Linked DNA regions of Drosophila melanogaster. The protein of the gene in region 1 interacts with the protein of each later gene in a biochemical or structural test. Each region holds a gene or a part of one and is shown on either strand. Other genes may lie near its edges.

What was found.
Region 2: of the proteins of Orc2 (region 1) and Cdk2, one has a biochemical effect on the other in vitro, tested with the Drosophila melanogaster proteins (one study listed by BioGRID).

The regions. Positions count from the first base shown.
Region 1 is NT_033777.3:13,962,746-13,967,630, forward strand, and holds Orc2 (origin recognition complex subunit 2), read left to right. Parts: upstream 1-2,139; 5' UTR 2,140-2,188; intron 2,189-2,246; 5' UTR 2,247-2,262; coding exon 2,263-2,836; intron 2,837-2,904; coding exon 2,905-3,750; intron 3,751-3,820; coding exon 3,821-4,257; 3' UTR 4,258-4,330; downstream 4,331-4,885. Other genes in the region: Kots (kotsubu), read right to left, coding at 1-902, 987-1,129. UniProt on the Drosophila melanogaster protein: Component of the origin recognition complex (ORC) that binds origins of replication. DNA-binding is ATP-dependent, however specific DNA sequences that define origins of replication have not been identified so far.
Region 2 is NT_033777.3:20,733,343-20,738,935, forward strand, and holds Cdk2 (Cyclin-dependent kinase 2), read left to right. Parts: upstream 1-2,280; 5' UTR 2,281-2,354; coding exon 2,355-2,482; intron 2,483-2,580; exon of another isoform or gene 2,581-2,670; intron 2,671-2,748; coding exon 2,749-2,944; intron 2,945-2,998; coding exon 2,999-3,109; intron 3,110-3,168; coding exon 3,169-3,330; intron 3,331-3,389; coding exon 3,390-3,587; intron 3,588-3,642; coding exon 3,643-3,792; 3' UTR 3,793-3,842; exon of another isoform or gene 3,843-3,917; 3' UTR 3,918-4,023; coding exon of another isoform or gene 4,024-4,992; 3' UTR 4,993-5,072; downstream 5,073-5,593. UniProt on the Drosophila melanogaster protein: Like Cdk1, could play a key role in the control of the eukaryotic cell cycle.

The DNA.
Region 1 (4,885 bases):
TATGATCCAATAGGAAAGCTCGCCGATAACCATTTTTAGTGCGGGTGGCCGCAAAGAAGATGGATTTCTGCTCGGGGAAGGGCAGCGTGAATGGCTGTCTTGGCTTCTCGGCTATGCGGTTGTTTAAGTCTGCGTTGACATGGCCCATCACGTTGATCTGGAGTAGGGCCAGCTGCGGTTCGTTATGCTTTGGATTTGCCTTAAAGACCCGGATGACTTTGACTTCTGGATTAAGCTGCAGCATCTCCAAGGGCAAACTTAGTGGTATTATCATCTTGGGCTTTAGATGGACGTGATAAGCTCCGTCGCTGGTTTTGGTTCCCAACATACGGAGCGTCAAGTTCTTAATGTCCTGAACTCCAGTGTTCGTGGGCAATTGAACACGGAAAGCGAACGCCTTGCTTTCGGCCATCTTGGGCACAATGGTGTAGATATCCCGAAACGGTGTAGCTACTATCTGACCGTGGTCAATCATACGGACATTGGCTTCTTGCTTCTTTTGGCAAACCGTCAAAACATGACCGCGATGGACCTTGTCGCCCACACTGATGGCCACGAGGGTGTCCTCCCGCACTCCTTCCATACGAATCATCTTCTTATTCTGCATGCAGCGCTGCATGTTGACCGTCATTCGCTCAATGGCCTCCACATTCGCCACGTGCACCACCCAAATGGGTCCATCGTTCTCCATGAAAGTCACGCGGCACTTGAAAAACTCCATGCCCGACGGCAGCAAATGTTTGCGCCAGTTTTCCGATAGATCCGGCTTGTTCGGCACAGCAACTGTGGGCTCCACACATGGGATTGGCGATTTAGTGCGAGTTTTAGCCAGAGCAACTTGGTTCTCTACGCTCTGGATTGGATTCAACGCCGGTTGAAGAGGCCGGCACTCCACCAAGGGTCTGGAAACGCATTTGTATTGTATAAGAATTAAAAACCCCTAACTTAATGCACTGCTGCGCAACGGATTTACTAATTTAACTCACGGCATAATGATGCACACCTGCCTGTGCCTCTGCCAATCCAATTTCTGGCACTTTTCATTGCAGTACGGTTCTCCACACCGCTGGCACATCAATCTGGTCGGAGTGCCACAGACGACGCATGTCTTTTCCTCCGACTTTTCCATTTCTTCAATTCAAAGTAACAACGCAAGAACGTGTGAATGAAAGAACGGCGCGTTAAAGGAAACGCAGCAAAATGGCGCTAACAGAACTTTTAGCACGCGATGAAATACAAAGTGAAAATCTATTTACGCTGGACGAGAACTTTCTATGTTTTCGTTTTGAAAAAGGTGGAATCCTTTAGAATTTAAGTGCGCGATTCACAACTCACAAACATGCGATACGTTCACTAAACGCGTTTAAATTCGAAGCTCGCTGGGCACGCGCTTCAGTGCATTGAACGAACGTGGGAAGAAAGAGAACAGGACGATATCGATATCGGTTGGTTTTCGATTTACAGCGCACTGATGGAAGTAAACTTGATCGTTAATTAAAAAAGGAAAAATAAGGCTTACGAAGTTTTTAAACTTTAATTAAAACGACACAACATATGCTAAATATTCTACATATTCCAGTTACAATCAATTTCGCCAAGCCATTTTCATGGAAGTTGAATACTCTTTGAACCTGTTTGAATATATCTGAAAACGCAAATCTACTTTGTGTTATTATTTTGCCAATATAGGCAATATTATTTGAAAATTAACCGCAAGTCCATTGACGACCGCAATTCAGAATAAGAACGTAGCGTAATTTTCCCATCTTCAAATATTGTTTTTCCTAAACTTACCGATTTTAACACTTTTTAGTTTTAAAAACGTTTGTGGTTAATCCGCAAGGAATTTGTGACAGTGAAAAAATAACCGCTTTGTACGCGCACGTGTTGCCAACAAACACTTCAGCTTTTGTCAGTGACTGGATTCTAATTTAAATTTATCGATAACGTATGCAATTCTTATTCGAACAATATAGTTATTTCTAAAAACTGTGTCACGGAATTTCTTTTTGTAATTATTACCTATATAAATATATATTTATACAAATATTTATAACATTTGTGTTTTAATTGTCATGCCCCTTTAGTTTTTTTTACGCTAGAAACTTAGCTACTTCCTAGGTCGAGAGCTGGCCACACTCTTGGCATGTCTTAGTTATCGATAATTCCCGCCACTTCTGAGCATTGAGTATATTTTGCGAACTATTTGTTTACCAATTGAATATTTTGATAATCAGGGCCCCCAGTGAAGTGGCAAGCGTCATGAGTGCCAGCAACAAAGGCGGTTACAAGACGCCGCGGAAGGAGAACCTCATGTCCATTGAGAACCTCACCAATTCGGAGGAGGAATCCGAGGACTTGAACACGGCAATGGTTGGGAATGCAGTGGAATCTCAGCCCAAGGTCACCAGTCGGCGTTCCACCCGACGTCCAAGTCCCACCAAGAAATACCAGGCGTACCAGAAGGAAAGCAATGGAAAAGGCCAGGAAGAGCGAATTGTTGTGAACTATGTGGAAATGTCCGATGAACGGAGCAGCGATGCGGAGGATCAGGAAGAAGAAGAAAGCATCGAGGAGTCGGAAAATGCTGCCCGTCCCGCTGCCAAGGATCTGCATCTCATCCAATCCGAGTACAATGTGGCCGGCACCAGCATGTTTGGCTTCAATACGCCCAAGAAACGCGATGCCATGGCACTGGCCGCCCTAAATGCCACGCCCTGCACGCCCAAGACCCCAAAAACGCCGCGTTTGGGTGTCAAGACGCCGGATACGAAGCGCAAGAAGTCCATGGATCAGCCAAAGACTCCCGCCCATGTGCGCACCCGCGTCAAGAAGCGTGGGTAGCCTTTTTCTGCGTCCTTTTACCATTTTTTCCATTATTTATAAATTCATTATCACTTTCAGAGATTGCCAAAATAGTGGCCGACTCAGATGAGGATTTTTCTGGAGATGAAAGCGATTTCCGGCCCAGTGACGAGGAATCCTCCTCCAGCAGCAGTAGCAGCGATGCTGGCAACTCCTCTGACAACGACGCCGCCGATGATGAGCCCAAAACGCCCAGTAGAGCCCGCCGTGCCATTGTAGTCCCCGTTCTGCCGAAAACTCCATCGGCAGCCCGCCTGCGACAATCGGCGAGGGCGAAAAAATCGAATGAGTTTGTGCCCGAGAGCGATGGTTACTTTCACTCGCATGCCAGCAGCAAGATCCTCACTTCGGATCACACCTTGGATCGCCTAAAGAATCCTCGCCTGGCCGCCGATCGTGTTTTCAGTTTGCTGTCGGAAATCAAGACATCGGCGGAGCATGAGGGTTCTATTAATGCCATTATGGAGGAGTATCGATCGTACTTTCCCAAGTGGATGTGTATTCTGAACGAAGGCTTCAATATACTTCTATATGGATTGGGCTCCAAGCACCAGCTGCTGCAGTCATTCCATCGGGAAGTTTTGCATAAGCAAACGGTATTGGTGGTGAATGGCTTCTTTCCCAGTCTGACCATCAAGGATATGCTGGATAGCATCACAAGCGACATATTAGATGCGGGCATTAGTCCGGCTAATCCACATGAAGCAGTGGATATGATCGAGGAGGAGTTCGCACTGATACCGGAAACACATTTGTTCTTAATCGTCCATAATCTGGATGGAGCCATGCTTCGCAATGTGAAGGCACAGGCGATTCTTTCGCGCCTGGCGCGCATACCGAACATTCATCTACTGGCCTCCATTGATCACATAAATACCCCACTGTGTGAGTGCACCGATGCTTTGAGATCTTTATAGTGCGACAGCAAAACTAATTATTGTTTACGAATTTGCAGTGTGGGACCAGGGAAAGCTGTGCAGCTTCAACTTCTCGTGGTGGGACTGCACAACAATGCTGCCATATACGAACGAAACTGCGTTCGAGAACTCGCTGCTGGTGCAGAATTCCGGCGAATTGGCCCTCTCCTCGATGCGCAGTGTCTTCTCATCGCTAACGACCAATTCGCGTGGCATTTACATGCTGATTGTTAAGTATCAATTGAAGAACAAGGGCAATGCCACATACCAGGGCATGCCGTTCAGGGATCTCTATTCGAGTTGTCGCGAAGCATTTTTGGTCAGCTCAGATCTGGCACTGCGTGCCCAGCTCACCGAGTTCCTCGACCACAAGCTGGTCAAATCGAAACGGAGCGTTGATGGCTCCGAACAGCTAACCATTCCCATTGATGGCGCACTGCTGCAGCAGTTTCTCGAGGAGCAGGAGAAGAAATAGGCCATCGGCGTAATTTTAGAACATATTAATTTATTATCTAATATTGTTAAATACAATTACAATTTCGCTTTTTAAAAATGTTGTGTTGCTGTCACTTGTATTGCCCATGATGAGTGCGCAGTGTTTGTTTTCGCTCTTTTTTATTTTTTTGTCAATTTCTACACATTAAGATTGGCATGCATAAAATTTGTCGCTTTGCTCGAAGATACACATTCTAGGATGGCTAGTTTTTTTCCTCAGCTCCAGTTGCGAGCATATAGCAACACAAAACTTCACAAAGCACTGCAAGTGCTCGACGACTGCGGGGATGAGAGCGCATTTGGATACGATTTTAAGGATCAGAAGAGGCGAACTAAACATAGCTAAGCATGCCAAAAATGATAAGACTCACTACCGCCTGACCATTCCGTGCTCCTCATCCATTCCAAAGGCTAATATCGGTTACCTATTCACTATACAGACACGCACATACACAGATTAAAGCGTTGGACTTGTAACTAGTTAATTGTGCACTCGAAACGAAATGTAATTGCTGCGACTAAGGCTAGTTTATTTACACTTTCTTGATAGCAAATCACATGCGAAGTCAATCGGAAGTACACATACAATGGGGAATCGTTCATGGCTG
Region 2 (5,593 bases), 6.8 Mb from region 1:
CGGAGCGACATGAGTACCGATCGAAGTGGCTGAAGGATTCGGTGAGGTCGTCATCAAGCATACGGCCCGTGGCCCGGAATGATTAATGTGCCATAAATGTGCGCGCCAAAAACATTCACAGCTAGAGCCTAAGCACGCGAAAAATAAACGCAGAGGCGAAAGCAAATTAAAATACGGATTTTTATGGCACTTTTTTTATTGCAACACGTAAAACACAAATTGAGACAAGATGGAGTGGAGTGTAAGCGAATTGCGTGCGCCTGCCACAAGCAATTACAATTACAATTTTAAATGCAACGCACATAAAATGCACGGAATGTCTTTTTAAACGATAAGGGTCCGCAATTACATGGCAAATCTCGCACTCCGGAATTAACTCAGTTGTAGCCCAACATTTTAACATACCACAATGCTAAACGGAATGCATGGCGATATGCTCTCATTCAAATTGGCTGCTATTTTGGTCACATTATCGTTAATGACTCTAGGAAGTAGGCATTGCATTTAAATCTCGCTGATCCCCGCCTTTATTCTCAAAGACCCTTCTCCTCTGGCCAGCAGTTCAAGAAAATGATCGAGTGCAAGACCAGTAAACCGAGAAGATAGTCGAGAGCAATTCAACTGGCTGGGCAGGATTAGGTACACCAGGTCAGCTGGTTGGGTGTGGTATCCCTGCTCCGGAGTGGCCGTAACCATGTCCTTGTGCCTGCTCACTGTGTTATATTCCTGGATAAGGGCGATGCCTACAGCTTTATGTTTGGAAACAGAAGTCGCCTTTTTTATTCACCCAGAGTATCGTTCCGTCTTACGATGTTGCCGTCCTTAAACTGAACTCCCAACTGAGATCCTGTTTGTCTGTATCGGAGGATACAGATTCCCATGACGTGATCGCCCGACTATTCAATGTGGTCAGTACGCTGGTGGATAAGCATCCGAAAAGCCTTCATACCCTGGCCAGAGTCACGAGTGCGTGCGTACACCAGGATAAAGATTTCCTAACTGGTGCAGCTCTATTTGGGATGAAAATTGTAGATGGATCTGAAGCTTGGCATCTTTTGTGAATATCAACGCACGGCCAGTACGAAAGAAACCACAAGATACCAATAATTGGATTGGGAACCATCTTAGTCTATAACTAAGTGTCCGGAAGAAATGTAAAAATGATTGAAAATAGTAGATAAATGGCATTTACTAATCATTAAATTCAGAACAAAGTTTCATTCAAAGTTAAAGAGTCCTCTTCACACATATTGTATGTACATACTTAACTAAATACCTGTTGGAAAAGTAGATTGCATTGCGACAATAAGAAACACCTTCACACTTTATCTGCAAGAGGTTATTGTTCTCAGTGTGCAAAATCATTGTGATTTCCTCGATCGGAAAATACTTTGTTGTGAGCGAGATGACAGTAAGCGAGGTTCTACTGGTTATACTGGTTATGCGTAAGTGATGTAACCCAATTACTTTATTATGCTTATCTACCAATTTTCTTTATTTATACTTATAAGCCACTGGTATAATCACTGAAGTTCAGCGCTGTGGAAGACCGTTGGAAAATCAGCTTTACAACGACAAAACATTCGCGGAACAGGATGAGCATCCTTGGCTGGGACGTATACTCTTCAGGGATGGAAATCAATTTACCACCTGCTATCGCTGCACCGTCGTACTGCTCAATCCGCGTCGTGGCCTAGCGCCAGCTCTCTGCGTGGATGGAAGGACCAAAGACCCTTATTCTAGTGTCTTTGGAAGGACCATCCGCGGAGCTCCTTTGCATCCAGACGCTATCCTGGCAGGAGTTCGCCTAGTAAATGGGGAACCGAGACAGTACTATATTATCCGGCAGCTCTTGGCCAAATTTGATTCGGTTTTTTCAGGAGCAGATCTTTTCATGTACATCGCACCCTACATTAATTGGATAGAGGCGAGAATCAACGTATTAAACGAACGTCACATTTCATTAAAAACATATATTTAATTAGTTAAAAGAGTAAATTTAGAAACCATTAAGAAACTGCATAAATACGATTTTTGCTTTAACTTTATTTATCAATTTTAAATGTCTTGATCCAACTGTGATAGGCATTAACGGGTCTCAACGGTTAATTTTATTTTTTATTTTAAAAGTTTTGTGCAAAGAAGAAAACAATACATTTAAAATAGGGGTAGTCAACCTTAGAGCTGTCACATCGCAGAACAATCGATTAAGGAATTCTTATCGATATGTGGCGCTGCTGTGCGACTTATCGGCGGTTGCATGAGAATGGCTAGCATCACCAAAGAAGAAGAATTTCCCTCCAAAATATTAGTTTATTTTGCCAACATCGATCTCAAGGATTGTTTACGAGGTTATGACCACCATTCTAGATAACTTTCAACGCGCCGAAAAGATTGGCGAGGGCACCTACGGTATAGTTTACAAAGCGCGTAGCAACTCCACCGGCCAGGATGTGGCCCTCAAAAAGATTCGGCTAGAAGGGTGCGTAATCCAGGTGGAGCAGGACTGTGATGCTGTTCATGGCAACCATAGGAAATATTATGTGACATATGGACATATTATCCTTGACGAATGTCATCCACCTGCACCCCGCAGCCCGAATTATGTGGGAGCTGCGCCGTTTCCGTAATCCGTAGCACCACATGATTCGGCTTCGTGGTACAGGATATCATCGGTTTTTGCTAGCAAACGGGTAATCACGATTGCCAGTATTTAGCTTTATTTAATAGCATAATTCCGATTCACAGCGAAACGGAGGGTGTTCCTTCGACGGCCATTCGAGAGATCTCCCTGCTGAAGAACCTTAAGCACCCAAATGTGGTCCAACTATTTGACGTAGTCATTTCCGGCAACAATCTGTACATGATATTCGAGTACCTGAACATGGATCTAAAGAAGCTGATGGATAAGAAAAAAGACGTGTTCACCCCTCAGTTGATAAAGGTAAGTACACTAGTTTGCAGCCCATTAAAATATTTTCACATTGCCACTTTGCAGAGCTATATGCATCAGATATTAGATGCCGTCGGCTTTTGCCACACGAATCGTATCCTGCATCGCGATCTCAAGCCCCAGAACCTTCTCGTAGACACGGCGGGCAAAATAAAGGTGAGACTAAAGGTTTTACCCGCTGTTGGTTCTGTGATAATAACGAATTCCAACTCCAGTTGGCTGACTTTGGCCTAGCAAGGGCCTTCAACGTGCCTATGCGGGCGTACACACACGAAGTCGTCACCCTCTGGTACCGAGCTCCAGAGATTCTGTTGGGCACGAAATTCTACTCCACGGGCGTGGACATCTGGAGTCTAGGCTGCATTTTCTCTGAAATGGTAGTGTTATATGGAATGTACATTCCAAGCGGATCTGATTACTAAACCTAGAATTACAGATTATGCGCCGCTCCTTGTTTCCTGGAGACAGCGAGATCGATCAACTTTATAGGATTTTCCGTACCTTAAGCACACCTGATGAAACAAATTGGCCTGGTGTGACGCAGCTGCCAGACTTTAAGACCAAGTTCCCTAGATGGGAGGGAACTAACATGCCACAACCCATAACCGAACACGAGGCGCACGAACTCATAATGGTGAGTGCAGAAAATGTACATCCCCAATGGAAATCCACTACTCTGTACCTTACAGTCAATGCTGTGCTATGATCCCAACCTGCGCATCTCAGCCAAGGACGCACTGCAGCACGCTTACTTCCGCAATGTGCAGCATGTTGACCATGTAGCCCTGCCTGTAGATCCCAATGCCGGCAGCGCTTCGCGTCTAACGCGGCTCGTCTGATCGTGTCCAATAGCCCCAGATCTAGCAAATTACTTGTGTTTTCTAGTATAGTAAGTTCGATGTCTATCTCACTATCTTTAAGGCGAAACTAGTAAAATTATTTGAATATCTAATCTATTTTACAGCTGCCACCTCATTATCATGCATTCCCCATCCTAACTCGCACGTAACATACGATAAATACACGATCATCCATAAGTAAAGAGTTTATAGTTTATAGCTTAGCATGGATTACCAGGAGCTCAGCCGGGCAAGGTGTCGTTGATGATGGCGTGGCGAAACTTTGGCGGCGGAATCGTTAGCCCCTGCTGCATCGCTAGCGAGTCTCTGGCGCTGGCGGGTGTGGCTATCGTCGCGCATATACGTGCCAAGAGTATTGCGCATGCTCTCGGAGAGCGGTGAATGGGCTTCGACATCACCATCGTCGTCATCGCTAGTCGGTGCATCGCTCGGTGCGCTGCTGTCTGTTTCCTCTGCTGCATCTTCATTCTCAATGGGATGCTCCGGTTTGCTGACTTCTAATAGCTTCGTCAATGATTGGCCCTTGGCCGACAATAGGGGCAGTGGTCGAAGTAGGGTCACCTTTCTGGTTCCGAGTCTTCTCATTACGGGCGCCTCTTCCTCATGCTCGCCTTCCACATCCTCTGCCTCCCTAGGCGGCGGAATAAAAAGCTGCCGTAAAAATTAGATTGGAAATCCTGAGGACTGAAGCGCTGTACTCCGTAGTAGCTACCGGAATTGGTGTCGTAGAAGAACATCGGCTCGGCGGACCGCGGCGGAGAAGGTGGCACAAAGTAGGGATCGTAAGGGCTGTAGGCATCATCGTTCTCCGCCGAGTCGTAGCTCGGTCGGCGCTTTTGTTGCTTGCGGCGCTTTCGCTTGCGTTTTTTGGTAGCCTGTGAGGCCACTTGAGCTGGTTCCTCAAGCTGCAGCTCCTGATCTTCATCGTAGGACTGCAGATAAACCGGCGACGTCTCGATGATGTTCGTACTGCCATCGTTAAAGAAGTTGGCCAACGGATTGGTCAGGTTACGGAAACTGAAAGCGGGCTGAACACTGCGGACGAAGCTATTCCAAACACGAACCAACGGGCGTTCAGTTGTTGTAGGAGCTGCTTTTCCCAGACTATGAATATAGCGCCTTCTGTATCCACCACGAGCACTCGGCAACAGGACATACTCGATGGGATAGTTTCTGGAGCTAGAATAAAAATTTCGTTCAAAGTTTAACTTTAAAATGTCATAGTTATACTTTTTTCAACTCAAATATAATTGTTTTATAAAAAAATGTATCCTATATAAGCATATAGTTGTTTGAATTGTTTATGTGATATCTATAATATGCAATAATAATCTACTATGAATTATTGGATTAAATAAGGTTCAGAAAATACCAAAAAGTGGTTATATAAATGTCATATCTGTCGAAAATCAAAACTTCATTGTTAGTCGTCAACGTTTGCTCACCCAATCTTTGCCTGCTTTTGCGGCAAGCGTCGCTCCATCTCGTTTGCGGATATCCTTACTCCTTGCGAAGGACAACTCCATGCTACAAAAAGCACTAGGGCAGTAAACAATTGCCACTGCATTGCTGTATACAATATGTTCGTCGGGCTTACTATATAGTATTTCGAATGCGTCCGTTACCGTTCCCGGTCGAAGGGAAACTGAAACTCATCCGAATCGCGAAATCAGTGGTCAACAGCTCGACGGTGATGCCTTTGTCTTTTTGACCAGCTCGTTGGATTAGTTTTTATTGGTTCACAGAACGGTTAGCCACAGTCTTAGCCAAATTGATTTGT